4 linked regions of the Canis lupus familiaris genome follow. The protein of the gene in region 4 interacts with the protein of the main gene of each other region in a biochemical or structural test. Links are inferred from orthologs where the notes say so. Each region holds a gene or a part of one and is shown on either strand. Other genes may lie near its edges. The genes, in order: POU2AF1, RXRA, SP1 and POU2F1.

What was found.
Region 1: the proteins of POU2F1 (region 4) and POU2AF1 are reported together in a solved structure, tested with the Homo sapiens proteins (2 studies listed by BioGRID, with this or other methods). The link is inferred for Canis lupus familiaris from reciprocal best matches to the Homo sapiens genes POU2F1 and POU2AF1.
Region 2: the proteins of POU2F1 (region 4) and RXRA form a complex in vitro, tested with the Homo sapiens proteins (2 studies listed by BioGRID). The link is inferred for Canis lupus familiaris from reciprocal best matches to the Homo sapiens genes POU2F1 and RXRA.
Region 3: the proteins of POU2F1 (region 4) and SP1 form a complex in vitro, tested with the Homo sapiens proteins (3 studies listed by BioGRID and IntAct). The link is inferred for Canis lupus familiaris from reciprocal best matches to the Homo sapiens genes POU2F1 and SP1.

The regions. Positions count from the first base shown.
Region 1 is NC_049226.1:21,727,459-21,731,021, reverse strand, and holds the end of POU2AF1 (POU domain class 2-associating factor 1), read right to left. Parts: intron 1,346-3,563; coding exon 1,031-1,345; 3' UTR 282-1,030; downstream 1-281. UniProt on the Homo sapiens protein: Transcriptional coactivator that specifically associates with either POU2F1/OCT1 or POU2F2/OCT2. It boosts the POU2F1/OCT1 mediated promoter activity and to a lesser extent, that of POU2F2/OCT2. It recognizes the POU domains of POU2F1/OCT1 and POU2F2/OCT2.
Region 2 is NC_049230.1:50,625,086-50,628,648, reverse strand, and holds part of RXRA (retinoic acid receptor RXR-alpha), read right to left. Parts: intron 1,906-3,563; coding exon 1,773-1,905; intron 300-1,772; coding exon 208-299; intron 1-207. UniProt on the Homo sapiens protein: Receptor for retinoic acid that acts as a transcription factor.
Region 3 is NC_049248.1:44,804,204-44,808,516, reverse strand, and holds the start of SP1 (transcription factor Sp1), read right to left. Parts: upstream 2,855-4,313; 5' UTR 2,750-2,854; coding exon 2,743-2,749; intron 2,264-2,742; exon of another isoform or gene 1,856-2,263; intron 1,671-1,855; coding exon 1,516-1,670; intron 1,192-1,515; coding exon 1-1,191. UniProt on the Homo sapiens protein: Transcription factor that can activate or repress transcription in response to physiological and pathological stimuli.
Region 4 is NC_049228.1:30,914,590-30,918,152, forward strand, and holds part of POU2F1 (POU domain, class 2, transcription factor 1), read right to left. Parts: intron 2,494-3,563; coding exon 2,183-2,493; 3' UTR 1-2,182. UniProt on the Homo sapiens protein: Transcription factor that binds to the octamer motif (5'-ATTTGCAT-3') and activates the promoters of the genes for some small nuclear RNAs (snRNA) and of genes such as those for histone H2B and immunoglobulins.

The sequences.
Region 1 (3,563 bases), on a different chromosome or scaffold from region 4:
TAGAATCCCCCAGGAAGGATGGTGCTTAGGAAAGAGGCCTTGACTCCACACAATGTTGGCTTGTGGAGTTTTTTAAAACACACAAGAAGCATATGGCAGCACTAAGTGAGGACCCAGTCACCCCTGGGCTTCAGTGGCTCTGCCCCCCCACCCCACCCCCACCCCCGCGGAAGCCCCATGGAAGGTCTGCACAGGGGAAGAAGCACAGACCTATTCATTCTCCTGAGTATAGAGCCCAGCTTTCCTTGCAAGATCCTCAAGGAGAAAAACAAAACCACCAATTAAACCGATATTTTTCTTAAGTTTATTCTCCTTAATCACCAAGTAATCTGGAGCAGAATGGCTCCTTGGACCCTCTTTCTCTCCACCCAATCTTTTCCTCCCCCTCCCCCCCATAGGCACACACACACCTGTTCCCCTCCCTCCTCCGTCCCCTGATCCAGACCCTACCCACCCCCAGGACCCTCACTCCCACCACCTCACTGAACCCCAGGCCTTGAGACTCTGCTGCCTGACACTGTAAGTCTGAGAACAGCAAAGGGGCCACCATGTGAACTGACAGCTCAAGGATTCTGGCATTGGGTCTGCCCTTGGAGGGGCGGTAGGACACCCCATCCATCTTAAAGTGACAGATGGTAGGGCATTGCTGGCCCCCAGCTCGGTGGGGCTGCTGTCCCAATTGATGAACTGAGGCAGAAGTAAAAGCACCTGGGTCATAGGTCTGCAACACTGGTGTCAATATTATCACTAAATCCCTATAATTTCTTCTCAAATAGGAGCTGAAATGGAAAAAGAAATGAGAAAGGAAAAAAGGAATGAAGAGGGGAGGGAGGGAAGGACAGAGGAGGGAAGGAAGAGAGGGAGGAGGGAAAGAGGGAGCAGGGAGGAGAAAGAAGAGGGAGGAAGGAAAGTCTATCATTCTAGTTTGGAATGCAAAGTGTAGTCATAAAATGGCTACTCCAAAGAGATGTGAATCTTGTTCCCTGTTTTAAATCCCAGTTTCAGGGAACAGGATTCTCAGGAGCATGCCCTAAAAGCCCTCCACAGAGAGCGTGTGGTTGAGTGCGTAGGCATCACCATCCTCTTCCTCCAAAAGCAGTTTGTCGATGGTCAGGGAACTGATGGCTCTCCTGGGGTCTTCCATGTCCTGAAGGACTGGCTCAGGGATGGAGATGGGCAGCTGGACAAACTGGGGCCCAGGCAGGGCTGGGGCCGGAGGCTGATACTGCAGGGTGGAGGTGGGTAGAGTGGACAGGGGCTGAGGCCACGGGAAATAGGTGAGGGGCGCCTGGTGCTCCGGGCCCTCCAGTTGGGGCCCGACCGCGGGCGCAGCTGCACTTCTCGTCTGTGATGGAAAGACACAGGATGAAGGGTTAGCAGTGCTGGGGACCCCCTTGGCCTTGCCCATCCTTGTCCTGGTGTTGTCTCCACCTGCTCAGTCTCCCCCAGAAGCCACACAGACTTGAGCTGGGTCCAAGTCACCAGCTGCATGTCCCTGCTCACACCACCTCCCCAGGTGTCCATTTCTCTTCTATATGGAGTTACCTATAGAACAGACACCATTGGGCCGAGCTGATTAGAGATGCTTTTCCAGGTTTTATTGAATATAAATTGCATCCCAATTTCAAAGATATTAAAATGTGGGTGGGGAGAAATGTCCATCTTAAAAATCAGTGAAAGTACAGCATGTTAACAAGCCTGTCCCCTGGCATGGTAGCCATATCCCAAAGGTGGCTGGCTACTGGCAGGCCTAGACACAAAGACGGCCCTGGCTCCCTGGCTCCCTATGGCAGCCTTGACATCCTGAGATCCACCCAAGCCAACAGAGCCCCACTCACCTCCCTCCTGTTCTGGGCAGACCTAGAAGCTGGGGAAGCACTACTGTGTTAGTGAACTAGCCTTTCCTTAAAGCTTCCCGGCGCCTTCCACGTCCTCGTCCTCATATCTCTGAGCTGGACCCCCATGGCTCTCCCAGGGTTATTTTCTCAGGTGCCCTGCAAACTATGCCTCTCACCTGTGCAGCTACCACACTGCAAACCTGAGGTCAAGCCTGCAGGAGAGAAGGGCCTGGGTCCTTCCTATCTTCTACAGCTGAGGAAGCAGGTGGAGGAGGAAGGTCTCTACATGAAATGATGTAAGAGAGGCCCAAATCCGCCCCCCCCACACACTGTCCCTCATTCCCCCATCCTATCTCTGTCTGGTTGCCACTGTGTTGTGAGAGTAAACCATTAGAGTCATTTCAGGAAGAGTTTATGTCAGTTTCCTGGGAATCTTGTTATGATGCAGATTTTGGTCCAGGAGGGCTGGGGTAGGGCCTGGGATTCTGCAAGTCCACTCAGATCCTTGGTGATGCCACTGTGGCTGGTCCAGGGACCATAGTTGGAGTAGCAAGGCTTACAGTGTTTTCCTACAGAATGGTAGAGCTGGAAAGGGTCTCAGAGGCCTTCCAGCTTCCCAGCAAAGCCTTAAAATTTCCAGTTCTTCAAAAATCCAAATGGAAATCCTACTTTTTTGAGTCATAAACCCATGCAGGCCACCTGTAATTGCAGGTTTCTTTACTCAGAGATGGAATTCTGTCAACCCAGTGCTACAACAGGTCTTAGCTCCTGCTCATCAGGAGTGCTGACTGGTAGCTCCAACCAGCTTTGATGAGTTAATTACAAAGTGGCAAAACAAATAAATTATTTCTTAATAAATACAGTCTGTTTAATACACAGAACCTTTCAAAGTAGGAGGTGGAGATAATGAAAGGTAAATAATGAAAGAAATCCTTGGGGTTGAAATGACTGGGAACAGTTATATCTGCCACCTCCTCCCCCCACCTAAGGCCCCCGATATGGAAATGAGTTGCTTGGGAAAGGTGCTGAAGGCACTCCTTCCTAGTACCACCATGTAGGCCCCACAACCGGTTTGCTGGGTAGCCAGGGGGCACAGGGCAGGAGGGCTTCTGTGGGCCCTGGGCTGGATAGTGATGAAAAGGCAGGTGCATCAGGATGACACTCAACTCTTGAGGGAAATGGACAGGAGGCAAGGAACCAAAGCAAACTCCATCATCAACGTGGGCTTTGCAGCTACTCATGAGGCCCCAGCTCCACCTCCCACAGTTTACCCTGAACTGCAGCTGGATATGGCTACTCCCACGGAGCTTTCCTTCTCTGAACGCTTGGGGGATTCCCATTCCTTTGCTCACACAGGTGTCACTCATATAAAACTATTTATCTTCCTTTCTTCCTTCATTCCTTTCCTATCTGGCACTTGAAGGAAGCCCTTAGTTAATGCTGCTGGCCGACTTTGAGACAATCATAATAACACTTATGGAGAGTTTTCTGTTTGCCAGGAACTATGCTAAGTCCTCCACATGTGCCCTCCCACTGGAGCCTGGCATCAGCTCTCTTATCAGTATTCTCATTTCACAGATGTGGGCACCAAGGCTCTGTGGTCTCCTAGCTCCTAAGTGAAGGGATGAAGGGAACCCAGGCAATCTGATGCTAGAGGCAACACTCAAAAAATTATCCTGCAGGTGTGTCTGACTTCTGTGGGGTGCCTGGGTGGCTCAGTCAGTT
Region 2 (3,563 bases), on a different chromosome or scaffold from region 4:
AGAAGGCTCGGCCCGAGGCCAGGCCAAAGCATGAAACAAGCACGGCTCTCGATCCACCCCCCCGCCCTCCACCCCCCGCTGCATGCAGTGGCTGCCGTGCGTCCCACTCCTGGGAGCCACAAGAAGAAGGCGGCATGGCTAGTCTGCAGCACGAGTGGGCTTCTCGGGCCCGAGGCCGGACGGCAGGCCATGCCAGGAAAGCTGTACCCGGGTTGAAGAGGACAATGGCACGCAGGCAGCCCAGCTCCGACTTGTCCATCTGCATGTCCCGCATCTTGGACACGAGCTCTGTCAGCACCCTGCAGAGGAAGCAGGCAAACACCACGGCCTGAGTCAGACCATGCCCCTCACCAGGGCACCCCCGCCCCAGAAAGACCCCCAGGACGGGCTAGGGAGGCTGGATGGGGACCAGGGAGCAGCTGGAGGACAGGCCCCACCCCCCGGGATGCTGCCCAGCCCAGGACTGGGGCTCCCCTCCCGCTCTGTCAGAGGGCGGGACTCTGACCCAAGCCTGACTGGCCCGCCCCATGGGGTCCCAAATCCCCAGCCTGAGCTCCCCGACCCCATCAGCCCAGTCTCTGGTTCCCCAAACTCGATGGCTGTGCCCAGGAAGTGCTAAGTGGTCAGTGAGGCTGGACCATAGGGAAACAGAGGACAGTGGCCTGGGGAGGGCCTGGACGGTCACCCCAAGGAGCCAGAGTCCCCGAGGGTCTGCAGGCTGGAGAGGGACACGGTCCCCTGGAGACCGAAGACAGGGTGGGAGGGGACGGGCGCTCGGATGTCCACCACTCTGTGGCCAGGGGATGCCCTGAGGCAGGGGTCACAAGTTCCACACACTTGAATGGCAAGTAGCTGGTTCCCTGTGCCGCTGCTCCTTGGGTAGAAGCCCAAGCCTCTGTCCCTGTTACTGCCCTAGCAGCTGGGAGTGTGGCGGGGCTGCGTTTCTAAACCAAAGTACCATCCCAGCACTGCACTCTCTACAAGGGGCCTCTGGGGGCACTGAAGTGCCATACTCCCAGCAGCCTTTGGTGGCTCCTCTCTCAAGGCCCTGAGAAGTACTGCACAAAGACACACCACCTATCCCCTGCAAAACCAGTGCTTGCCAGTGTATGTGGCCACAACCCCTACTTGCACTTGGCACATCCCAGTGGGCTCCAGGGCTTCCTTCTCCGTTCTACCAGAACTGCCCGCAGGGCAGCACAGTTCCTGCATTCACTTTCCTGTGGGTGATTCCCGGGAGGGTCTGTGCACCCTTGACCCCAGGCTCTTCCGCTCGGGGGTTCCCTGGGAGCCCTGCCACCACCTTCCTGCCCCCATGGCCCACAGTGTGTCCCTCCCGGCCCTTCCTCCTCCAGCGGGCTGAGTGGCTGGGGAGCAGCTAGAATGGAGACATGCGGCCGCCCCCTTGCCCAGTGCTGCCCCTCTGCTGGGGAGCCAGGGGACGCAGGGGTGCAGGGAGGCGCGCGCCCACCTGCGGTCGGGGAGGAGGAGCAGTGGCACACATGCAGCCGAGGGCTTGCGGCTCCAAAGACCCAGGGCCACTGCTGGACTGCACCTGCTGTATAACCTCCGCCCAAGGAGCACGGCGCCTCTTTCCACGTACGGGATACAGGATGTTAAAGAAAGGAGCCGGGAGGAAATGAACCCTCACATTACGCTGGGGTCGTCAAGTCTCCGGTGGATGGACGTGCAAAGGCTTGAACTTGTGTCCTTGTATGCCAATTTCCATGTCCACATCCACACCCTCCACGAACCTGGCCCGGGGCACCCACCTGTCGAAGATGGCGCCCACCCCCGCGCTGTGGGCACTGTTCCGGTGGACGTGCAGTCCGGTGGCCAGAAGGATCCCGTCCTTCACGGCGATGGACCGGTGGGAGAAGGAGGCGATGAGCAGCTCATTCCAGCCTGGGCGGGGAGGGGAGGGTGCACGGTCACGTGGCTGTGTCCCTCCCCATGATGGGTCGGCCACTCCGCCCTCCATGGGCCGCACCAGCACAGAACACCCCACTGCAGGTGCCGCGGACCCCGAGATTCTGAGCCACATGCCAACTAGGGCAACAAGTTTCCCAAGAAGTCCTGCACGGAGCATCCCCTCTGGCTCTGTTCAACCCAGGTGCTCCCAAGCCCATGTGCCCAGGAAGTCTCCTCCCACAAGTGCCGGACACTCTTGCCATGGAGGACAGAGGGCCTCTCTGTGGAACACCACGGGGCAGCTGCTGCCAACCTGGTCTCAGCAGCAAACTCTCAGACTCCCATGTGCTACGGGGGGCACCGCAAAAGAATAAATTCTTAAACTGACATAAGGTGTGTTAAAGCCTCAGGCGAACCGGACAGTATTTTCATGAGATCCCGGTGCAGACAACTGGGGTGGGTGTCAAGGGTTACGAGAAAGTATGGAAGCAAAACTTGAAATAGAAATTATTTCTGTGCTGGGATCTCAATGAGTCCTGTGGACGGGGAAGCCCCAAGCCGCTTCCACAGGTGCAGCACTGACACTGCCACACTCCCCGGGCTCCGTGACTCATGGCCCCACACAGCCTGTCACACATCATCCTGACTACAATCCTACAGGCCCAGGGCAGGGTAGGGGTTACCCTGTCATATGGTGAGTAAGGGCGAGGACCCAGGCCTCTGCCGCCCCTACCACCTCCCCTGATGGCTCTGGGTGTGGGGATTTAGCCCCAGCTAGAGGGAAAGCTCTTCCAGAAGGCACGCCCTGCCCCAGGTCCCCTAGGCCCCCAGGCACCCAAGCCCACAGGCCCCCAGGCATCTAGGTGCCCCCTAAGCCCCCAGGACCCCAAGCCCATAGGCCCCCTAGGCCCACAGGCCCCCCAGACCCCCAAGCCCATAGGCACCCAAGCCCACAGGCCCCCAGGCCCCCAAGCCCACAGGCCCCCCCAGGCCCCCAGGCCTCCAAGCCCTCCAAGCCCCCAGGCCCCCAGGCCCCTACGCCCCCAGGCCCCCCAGGCCCCTAAGCCTCCAGGCCTCTAGGCCCCCAGGCCCCCCAGGTCCCCAGGCCCCAGGCCCACAGGCCCCCAAGCCCATAGGCACCCAAGCCCACAGGCTCTCCAGGCCCCAAGGCCGACAGCCCGGGGACAAGAGTTCTGCCGGGGGCAGAGCTGGCCCCAAGTGCATTTTCCCCCCACTGCGGATCACTCTGGAGTCACTCTGTCTCCCTGCCATCCATCCCCCACAGGGCATGCCCAGCCTCCTCCTACCTCTGGGCCGGCTGCTACCTCTCCCACTGCCCCAAGCACACATGGGCTGCCCTGGGATGCTCCCGCAGCGCCCAGCACTGGCCTGGCATACAGCTGGTGTCGTGCAGCCTTCCGCCGGTGGTGCACTTGGCAGCACCCAGCTCGTGCAGGTGGCCCAGTGGGGCAGGAGGCTGGCTCGGTGGGGGGTGCTCCCTGCCGGCCCCCACTGGAGGCCCAGCACCAGCACACCTGGCTCACCTGTCCCTCCTGCCCCACTGCCAGGATGTGCACTGAGGACCCTGGTCTCAGCAAAAACGGGTCTCCACTTGGTACGCCTGTCACGTATCAGGAACTGGGCCAACCTGG
Region 3 (4,313 bases), on a different chromosome or scaffold from region 4:
GATGATGGGGCCGGAGTTTGGAACAGCCTGAAGCTGGAGATTCTGGAGGGTTTCCTGGGAGATAGCTTGGGTTGTAAAGGTCTGCCCTGACAATGGTGCTGCTTGGAGGGCCTGGAGAGCCTGTCCCCCTTGAACTAGCTGAGGCTGGATAAGAATTTGTTGCTGTTGCTGTGTCTGCTGGTTTTGCTCTCCCTCTTTTTGCTGACTTGCTTGCAGAGAGCCTCCAGATGTCTGGTTCTGCTGAATGTTTAGAGCATCAGACCCCTGTAGCCCACTGACCCTCTGGGGTGTCTGCCCTTGAGAGTTGGTCCCTGCTGATCCGCTGGTGGTGAAGTTCATAATTCCCATGTTGCTGGTGGTAGTAGTTGTTGAGTAGCTATTGGCATTGGTGAAAAAGGAGCTGGAACTGGCTTGTGATGATACCAAACTGGCAGAACTGATGGCAGTCCCTGAGGTGGAGGGCTGTGAGCCACTCTCCTGGGACCCAGAGCTGCTGATAGTGACTGCCTGAGAGCTAGGAGTCAAGGTAGCTGCAGAAACGCTGTTGACAGGTAGCAAGGTGATATTCCCGTTCAGGGCCACTGGTACATTGGTCACATACTGAGTCTGTCCTGAGAGTACGTTATTAGTCAGGCCTTGGAGGGGGACAGCCTGCTGGAGTAGGTTTGGCATAGCAGCAATGATGTTGCCTCCACTTCCTCGATTTGTGATGATCTGTTGGTTTGCACCTGGTATGATCTGTATTTGACCAGAACCATCCTGCTGCACTTGGGCCCCAGTGGCAGCGAACTGCAGCTGTTGCCCATCAACGGTCTGGAACTGTGGGATTACTTGATACTGAATATTAGGCATCACTCCAGGTAATCCTGTCAGGACTTGCTGGTTCTGTAAATTGGAGGTGGCGGCCACAACATACTGCCCACCAGAGACCGCACGATTCTTGGAAGACTCACTGCCATTGCTGCCATTGGTACTGCTGCCACTCTGTTCCTTTGAGGTAGGGGTAGCCCCAGAGGAGGAAGAGATGATCTGCCAGCCATTGGCACCCTGTGAGAGCTGTGTGGCTGTGAGGTCAAGCTCACCTGTACCCCCTGACTGGCTTGGGCCTTGGGAGTTGTTGCTGTTTTCATTGGGTGACTCAATTCTGCTGCAAGTTGCTGCCAGCAGAGCCAGAGGGGATGGCTGGGATTCCTGGCCGGAAAATAAGGGAGAGGATAGGAGTCAGAGACACCCAGCTGCCAGCCCTGGGGGCAGTTTTAAAACAAATAAACAGCAAAACTGCAGCCAAAGAGAGGGAAAAAAAAAAAAAAAAACCTGAAACAAAAAGCTGACCTATCCATACTGCTGAAATCCTCATCTCTGGAGATCTCCCAATCATTTGTCTCTCTGTGCTAACTTCCCTAGCTACAAAATGGTTTAGCGCTTTCCTAAAAACGTTTCTGTGAAAAGACAATAATCTAAGAATATTTACATTCTCTAGACATCTCCCCTACTCTGCCCTGGTTTATCACTTACCTGCCCTCCTCCTCCTCCACTGCTGCTACTGCCTGTGCTGCTGCTTCGAGCCTGAGAAAAGGCACCATCACCATTACCGTTGCCCCCATTATTGCCACCAACTCCTTTTTCAATCTTCACCACGGCTGTCATTTCATCCATGGAGTGATCTTGGTCTAAAAAGAATTAAAAGATAAACAACTTAGAGTTGGAGGAAGGAAAAGGGTAAGGTTAGGAGGGATAAAGGACGCTATGATGAAACAAATAATTAACAGTAAGGTGAAAGGCACCAGCGTTAAAAAAAAAAAAAAAAAAAAGTGGATTGAGGAAAGGGCAATTGTAGGACACATAGAACACAGACTTGGCTTAGCAGTGCTGAAACTGGGCCTCAATTCTTCCCTGGCACAAAATTACACCCAGGAAACATTAAAAATGTACTTTTCGTATAGGAAATGTGAGGGGCGATGGACATGTTCAAAGAGTTTCAAAATAAAAAAAAGTATCCTGGGGATAAAAAGGAGAGGGATAGGTAAGGCAAAGAACAACATGTGGGTGGATGGAAAGCTTGCTAAAATTAGGGTCAAAGAATATAGAGAAAGAGAAAAACTCAAGGGTAAAAAGCAGCACGAGGAGAAGAGGGGCAAAGGGGAAAGAAAAAACAAAAAAGTGTGAGTGGGGAAACATTTGTGGATACGGCTAAGGGGCTACGGGGTCCAGGGGTTACGAATCTGGAGGTTTCGGGGCGGACAGAGGGCGGGCCCTGGAAGGAAAGGGCGGTTTCGGGGTGAGGGGCGTGGAAAGGGCGGGACGGTGGGGGGGAGGGGAAACCTACGGGGGGAGGGGAGGGCCTTGGGGCAGGCGGCGACCAGAGGGCGGACCGGGGAGGCGGTTGGCCCGGGCGGGGCCTGCACTGCTCGGGCCGCCCCCGCGGCTCCAGCCCCCGGCGGGAGGAGCCTCAGGCGGGCGGCCGAATAGTGGGGGGTAAGGCCCGTCCCCCGTGGCCGGGGCGGGCAGGGGGCGGGCGAGGCCACGCTGCCCCCTCCCCCGGGGCGGGCGGCCCATCCCCCGCTTTCTCGCAGGCCCCGCCACTGCCCCTTCTCCCTCCCTTCCCTCCGCCCCGGGCGGGACCAAGGCCGCCGCCGCCGCCTCCCGCCCGCCCCCCCTCACGGCGGGGACCGCCCGGTCGGCCCTCGCGCGCGCCCCCTCATTCCCCTCCCACCCCTAAGCGTGGAGTGGACTCATCCTTACCGCTCATGGTGGCAGCTGAGGGACGAGCTCAAGGGGGTCCTGTCCGGGGGGGTTGGGGGGGGCCGGGAAAAACGCGGACGCTGACGAGGCAAGCGAACCCGGACCGGACAGGGAGGGGGGGGGTAAGGAGGAGGGAGCAGCGCGCCACAAGCCCGGCCTAGGCCCCGCCCCTTCGCTGCTGCCCCGCCCAATGAGGGAGGGAGAAAGGCGGGACTTGCGGAAGAAAGACGCGTGGGTCATCCAATGGCAAGGCTCACTGGCTCTCTAAGGCGTGTAGGACAAAGTTGCGAGCCTGGTGTCCGCCCAGGGAGGCCGCCCTCTCAGTTTTAAGGCCCAATGAAAGGCGCAGGAAGTGGGGGTGGGCGGGAGCTAGTGATGACAGGCTTGGGAGGGAGCCAGTCAACCGCCAGGCGGGCTCCCTGAACGGTGGGGATAGGGAGAGCTTAGGTTGGAATGACAGAACATCGGCCAACCAGAAGCCCGGACATGCCTGGGCAAAGTCCCCGGTGGGAGGGGGTAAGAAGCAGGCCGAAATGGGATAGGATGAAGCCGACCACAGCCAATCAGAAATCAGGCGGGCAGCCAGGAAAGTTAGGATTGGGCCAACGCTGAGACAAGACAAGCGGGGACGCAAATTGACGTGAACGAGAAGCCAATTGAACGCCGAATGCACTCCGGGGGCGGGACTTTGGGGTGGGCCGAGGAGAAGCGGCGTCTCCCTCAGTCGGTCCGCCCAATGAGGCGGCGAAGGGGGCCAGGCCCCGCCCCCAGGGGGGCCAATGGGCGCCGCCAGAGCCGCCCGTCGCGGGGGAGGGAGCAGGGCTGTGCCAAGAGGAGGCCGCCGCCATCTTGGCCCTCCTCAGGGGACGTCTTTGCAGTGGTTAGGTGGCGCGCTTCGGTGGGGCCGTGCTGCGCAACAAGTGTCAGGGTCGAGACGGGCGGAGCGCGGCTCTGCCTCCCGCCGGCCGCTCTCTCGGGGGCCCCCCCAGCGTCCCCCTCCCCGCGGTGGGCGGACGGGCGGGCGGGCGCCTCGGAGTGTGGGTGTCGGCCCTGTGGGTGCGCGCGCGCCCGGCCAACCCCGCGCCGACCGTCCGCAAGGGCTTTTGTGCGACTCCGGCGGACGCCATCTTCCCGACTTCTCCCGCAGACGGCGGCCGGCGGCTTCCTTCCGCGGCGCTGACTTTCTCGAGAGCTGGGCCTGGAGGACCTCCCAGAGTCCGCGTCCTGTCAGCCACTTCCTGCCTCTCCTTCCCCACACACCCCGTCCGACGGCAGGAGGAGAGCGCGGGCCTTTGTAACCAAAGTCACAGGACACTTTCCCCTCAGACACCTGCGTTTCTGGCACCTCCCGTTCTACCTCGCTTCCCCCCCCTCCCCTGGTGTTGGTGGAGGCGGCCTGGGTGAGTCGTCAATGACACGGAGGTCATTCCCTGCGGCCCCTCCTGGTATCTTCGTGTTGTCACTAAATTATTTTCAGTGCGGCACTTGGTGACCTGGGGTCACGCTTTAAAGTCCGGATCCCGGGGATCCCCGGGGGGCTCAGCGGTTTGGCGTCCGCCTTCGGCTCAGGG
Region 4 (3,563 bases):
GCAGTTCACTGATTTGGGAGGAATTTTAGGGAAGGTGAATGGTAAGAAGAGGAAATTTAGGTTGATAATTAAATACTCTGTGAAATAAAACAGGAAGACAGAAGCAACGAAAGAAAAACTAACAAAGGGACTAAAAATGTTTCTGGCCTTTTAATATTAAGGTGCCTGTCTCCCACTTGGATGATCACAAACATATGCACTGTGTCTGTGTCACTGCCTTTCTCAACACTGTGAAGAGACAAATACAAAGATTCCAAGCTCCCTTGGGACACAAGCAGAGCGATCAGAATGAAAATGACCTACACACCCTCTCTCAGACCCCAGCTTAAAAGGGGGGCAAGTGCAGTCTTGGGCCACCAGAGACAGACATAAGCAAGCACCCACAGACGCCAACTGGGAACCTTGACCTCCGATAAGGAGGGGAGCTCACATGAGCCCCACTGCAGTGACCCCGGCTTCCGGGAAATATTCTGGTATAGATACTGTAATGACAGCACACTGACAGGAAGGGGAACTGAATTTCCATGTTACCCTCCATTCCTCTTCATCTACTTCCATAAACTCTTCCTCTCTGTGGGCTCATGTACATAGTCTAGAAACACCCTGAAAACAATTCCAGAAGCTATATATCACTTTCTACATTGTACAGCGAGACGTGTATTTCCATTGTGACCTGCCTAAGCTGGAGCATCACTAACAAACCAAGGAGACACTTGAGGTGTGTGCAAAGTTCCTGCTCAAAGTCCTTCAAAGGTTCTAAAGACCCCATGCCCAGCTAGTAAGTGCGTTCCCCAGTCAGGGCAGCAAGGAGAGTCTCAGGGCTAGAGGGATTTACGCGCCGTCCAGTGAAAAGGGGTCTGTGGCCAGAGCAAAGGTGGTGGCCTCAGACTCTTCTCATCACACCTCTTTGGGGATATAGAATGGATGGCAATAGTCTAGTGGAGTTCCTTTAGAAAACAAAAGAAGGGCGGAGTTTCCCAATTTCAATCAGTCAATTCGCTCTTTGCCAAGTAAATGAAAGGAAGTTTGGATGAAAAACTTCCACAAAATGCAAACAAACAAACAAACACACCAACAGTAGGAGCATTTTTCAGGAGATAAGAAATCAGGAGAACCACCAAGTCAGGTGTCTGCAGTAGTCTTTGCTCTTCGGGCCCAGATCCCGTCCTGCAACACGCATGGCCGTTCCCGCTGAAAGTGGCAGAAGCAGCACCTGTGCACCGCAGGATCTGGGCCTCAGGGTCATTCAATGATCTGGGGTGAGTGAGAGCTACAGTTCAGCAGGAATTCCTTCCTACGCAAAAGTGCTCGAAAGGCACCACCTGATGGGGGGAGGGGGCGTGTGTGGAGTGGGAGTGTTTGCACACACTGCCTTCAGCTTCTGCACCAAGCCTCTTGCATAAGTGGCAAAAGAAAATAATTTTCTAGCACCTCTGTAAGAGTCATCAAGGATAAGGAAACCAGCAAGAACATTCCCCGCAGTTAAGAACGTAAGTCTCCCCTGACCCCCAAACCCTCCCTCCCCACAGTGTGGGAGCTCACTGAAATAGGATCCAGGAGCAAGAGATAAACATGTCCAAACTATATATATATATAAAAAACAATAACAACAACAACAATAATAATAGAGATACAGTAATACAGGCCTGCCTAAATTGTACCAGTTAAGAAAGGAACCCCCAACACAATTGATACGATTATAAACACCTTGTTATGACTTAATGGCCTGTACAACAGACCCATAAAAATGATTTTTTTTTTTAAGAAAAAAAGAAATTTAGACAAACAAGAAACCCCCTTCCTATATTGGAATTGGTACCCACCTTAACTTGTCACCATGACTGCTGGAAATGAGAAGTAGTCCTTTCACTTCTTTTTTTGTTTGTTTTTGATTTTTTTGTTTCTGCTTTTTTTTTTTTTTTTTTAATTTTTGGTTAGAAAGTTCTCCAATCCATGAAGCAATCCTGAAAAGACAGTGTTTTATTACAAAATTAGGCAAATGTTGTCCTGTCTCCATCCTTTTGTTGTTCTGGTATGCATTTTTTTTTTCCTTCTCTCCCTTCTTCCCTTGCTGCTGAAACATGGCAAGAGGAAGCCAATCACATTTTTCAGTCTCAGCCTGGCTGGCAGCCCCATCATGCCGCGAGTGGAAAAGGCTAGTGGCAGCCCCGTGCAGCCCAGCTCACTGTGCCTTGGAGGCGGTGGTGGTGGTGGAAGCGGCCCCACCGGCAGAGGCCACTGTGAAGAGAGAGTTCTGGATGGACTCAGCAGAGGTGGAGGTGGCGTGAAGGCTGGCTACAGGTCCAGAGTTCCCTGCGGAGGCCGCAGCGGCAGAGACCAAGCTCACTGGGTTGCTGGTGAGCAGAGAGAGGTTCTGAGGGTTCAGGAACAGGGGGGCAGTCACGATGTTGGGGGCTCCTCCTGCATTGGCAAATACCAGGTTCCCGGTTGCATCCAGTGACGTTATTGGAAGAGAGCCACCGGAAGCAAGAGCTACAGACAAAATCCCCCCAAACAGGCAGAAAGGAAAATGTTAAAACCATTCTAGAGAAGCCAAGTAACACATCAAATGCACTGAGTTTTCCTACAACCTGGGTGGAAAGAGTGCAGCCCTTCATTGATGTTCTCTCTTATAACACTTTCCTGTCACCTACTGAAGTGTATTTGTAATTTTGGAAGAGACTGAGCAGCTGTATTATTAAATAATTTAATGAGCACACAGGACGGAGGGGAGGGGAGAGCCAAGCACTACTGAATCACACATGCTGCCGTCTTGGGGCCTCATCTCCCTAGAGTACCTCATCCTCCTATAAGGATTTATTAAGTCCAATTATTTTGTTTTTAAGGAAGATTGCTGATTTTATTTATTTTTTTTTTAAATATATTTTTTTTAAATTTATTTATGATAGTCACAGAGAGAGAGAGAGAGGCAGAGACACAGGCAGAGGGAGAAGCAGGCTCCATGCACCGGGAGCCCGACGTGGGATTCGATCCCAGGTCTCCAGGATCGCGCCCTGGGCCAAAGGCAGGCGCCAAACCGCTGCGCCACCCAGGGATCCCAAGATTGCTGATTTTAAACTACTTTCATTCAAAAGACAAACAAGGTATAGTGACTGCGCATTAAAATATGGTTAGCTTTTAGCCAATAACTGGCATCATTGATAAATTTGAGTACTTGTTTTTTAGTATGATGTACAGGATGAAAACGATCCTTCAAAATGGCTTTAGTTCTAAAATAATTTTCTATTACTAAATAAAATGTAACGTGTGGTTACTGTTTCACTTGCCGAGGCATCGATTTGATTCCTAGGACTTACTTGTACACAGGAGAAGGATAGCAGAGAGGCACTGAGGCAGACGGCCTTAGGGGCTAGCTGAGGTCAGGGCCTGCTCTCATGAGGGAGAATTTCTCTATGACGCTGTCGCTGCTCCATAGAAGCCATCACTGAACTTTTCTTTGAAATAATTCTGCACTCTCAATATCTTCTGTCATCTGACAACCCCTCCAATACCCTCCCACCCATAAAACCACATTTTCAAATGTAGATTTGAGGGGTTTTCTA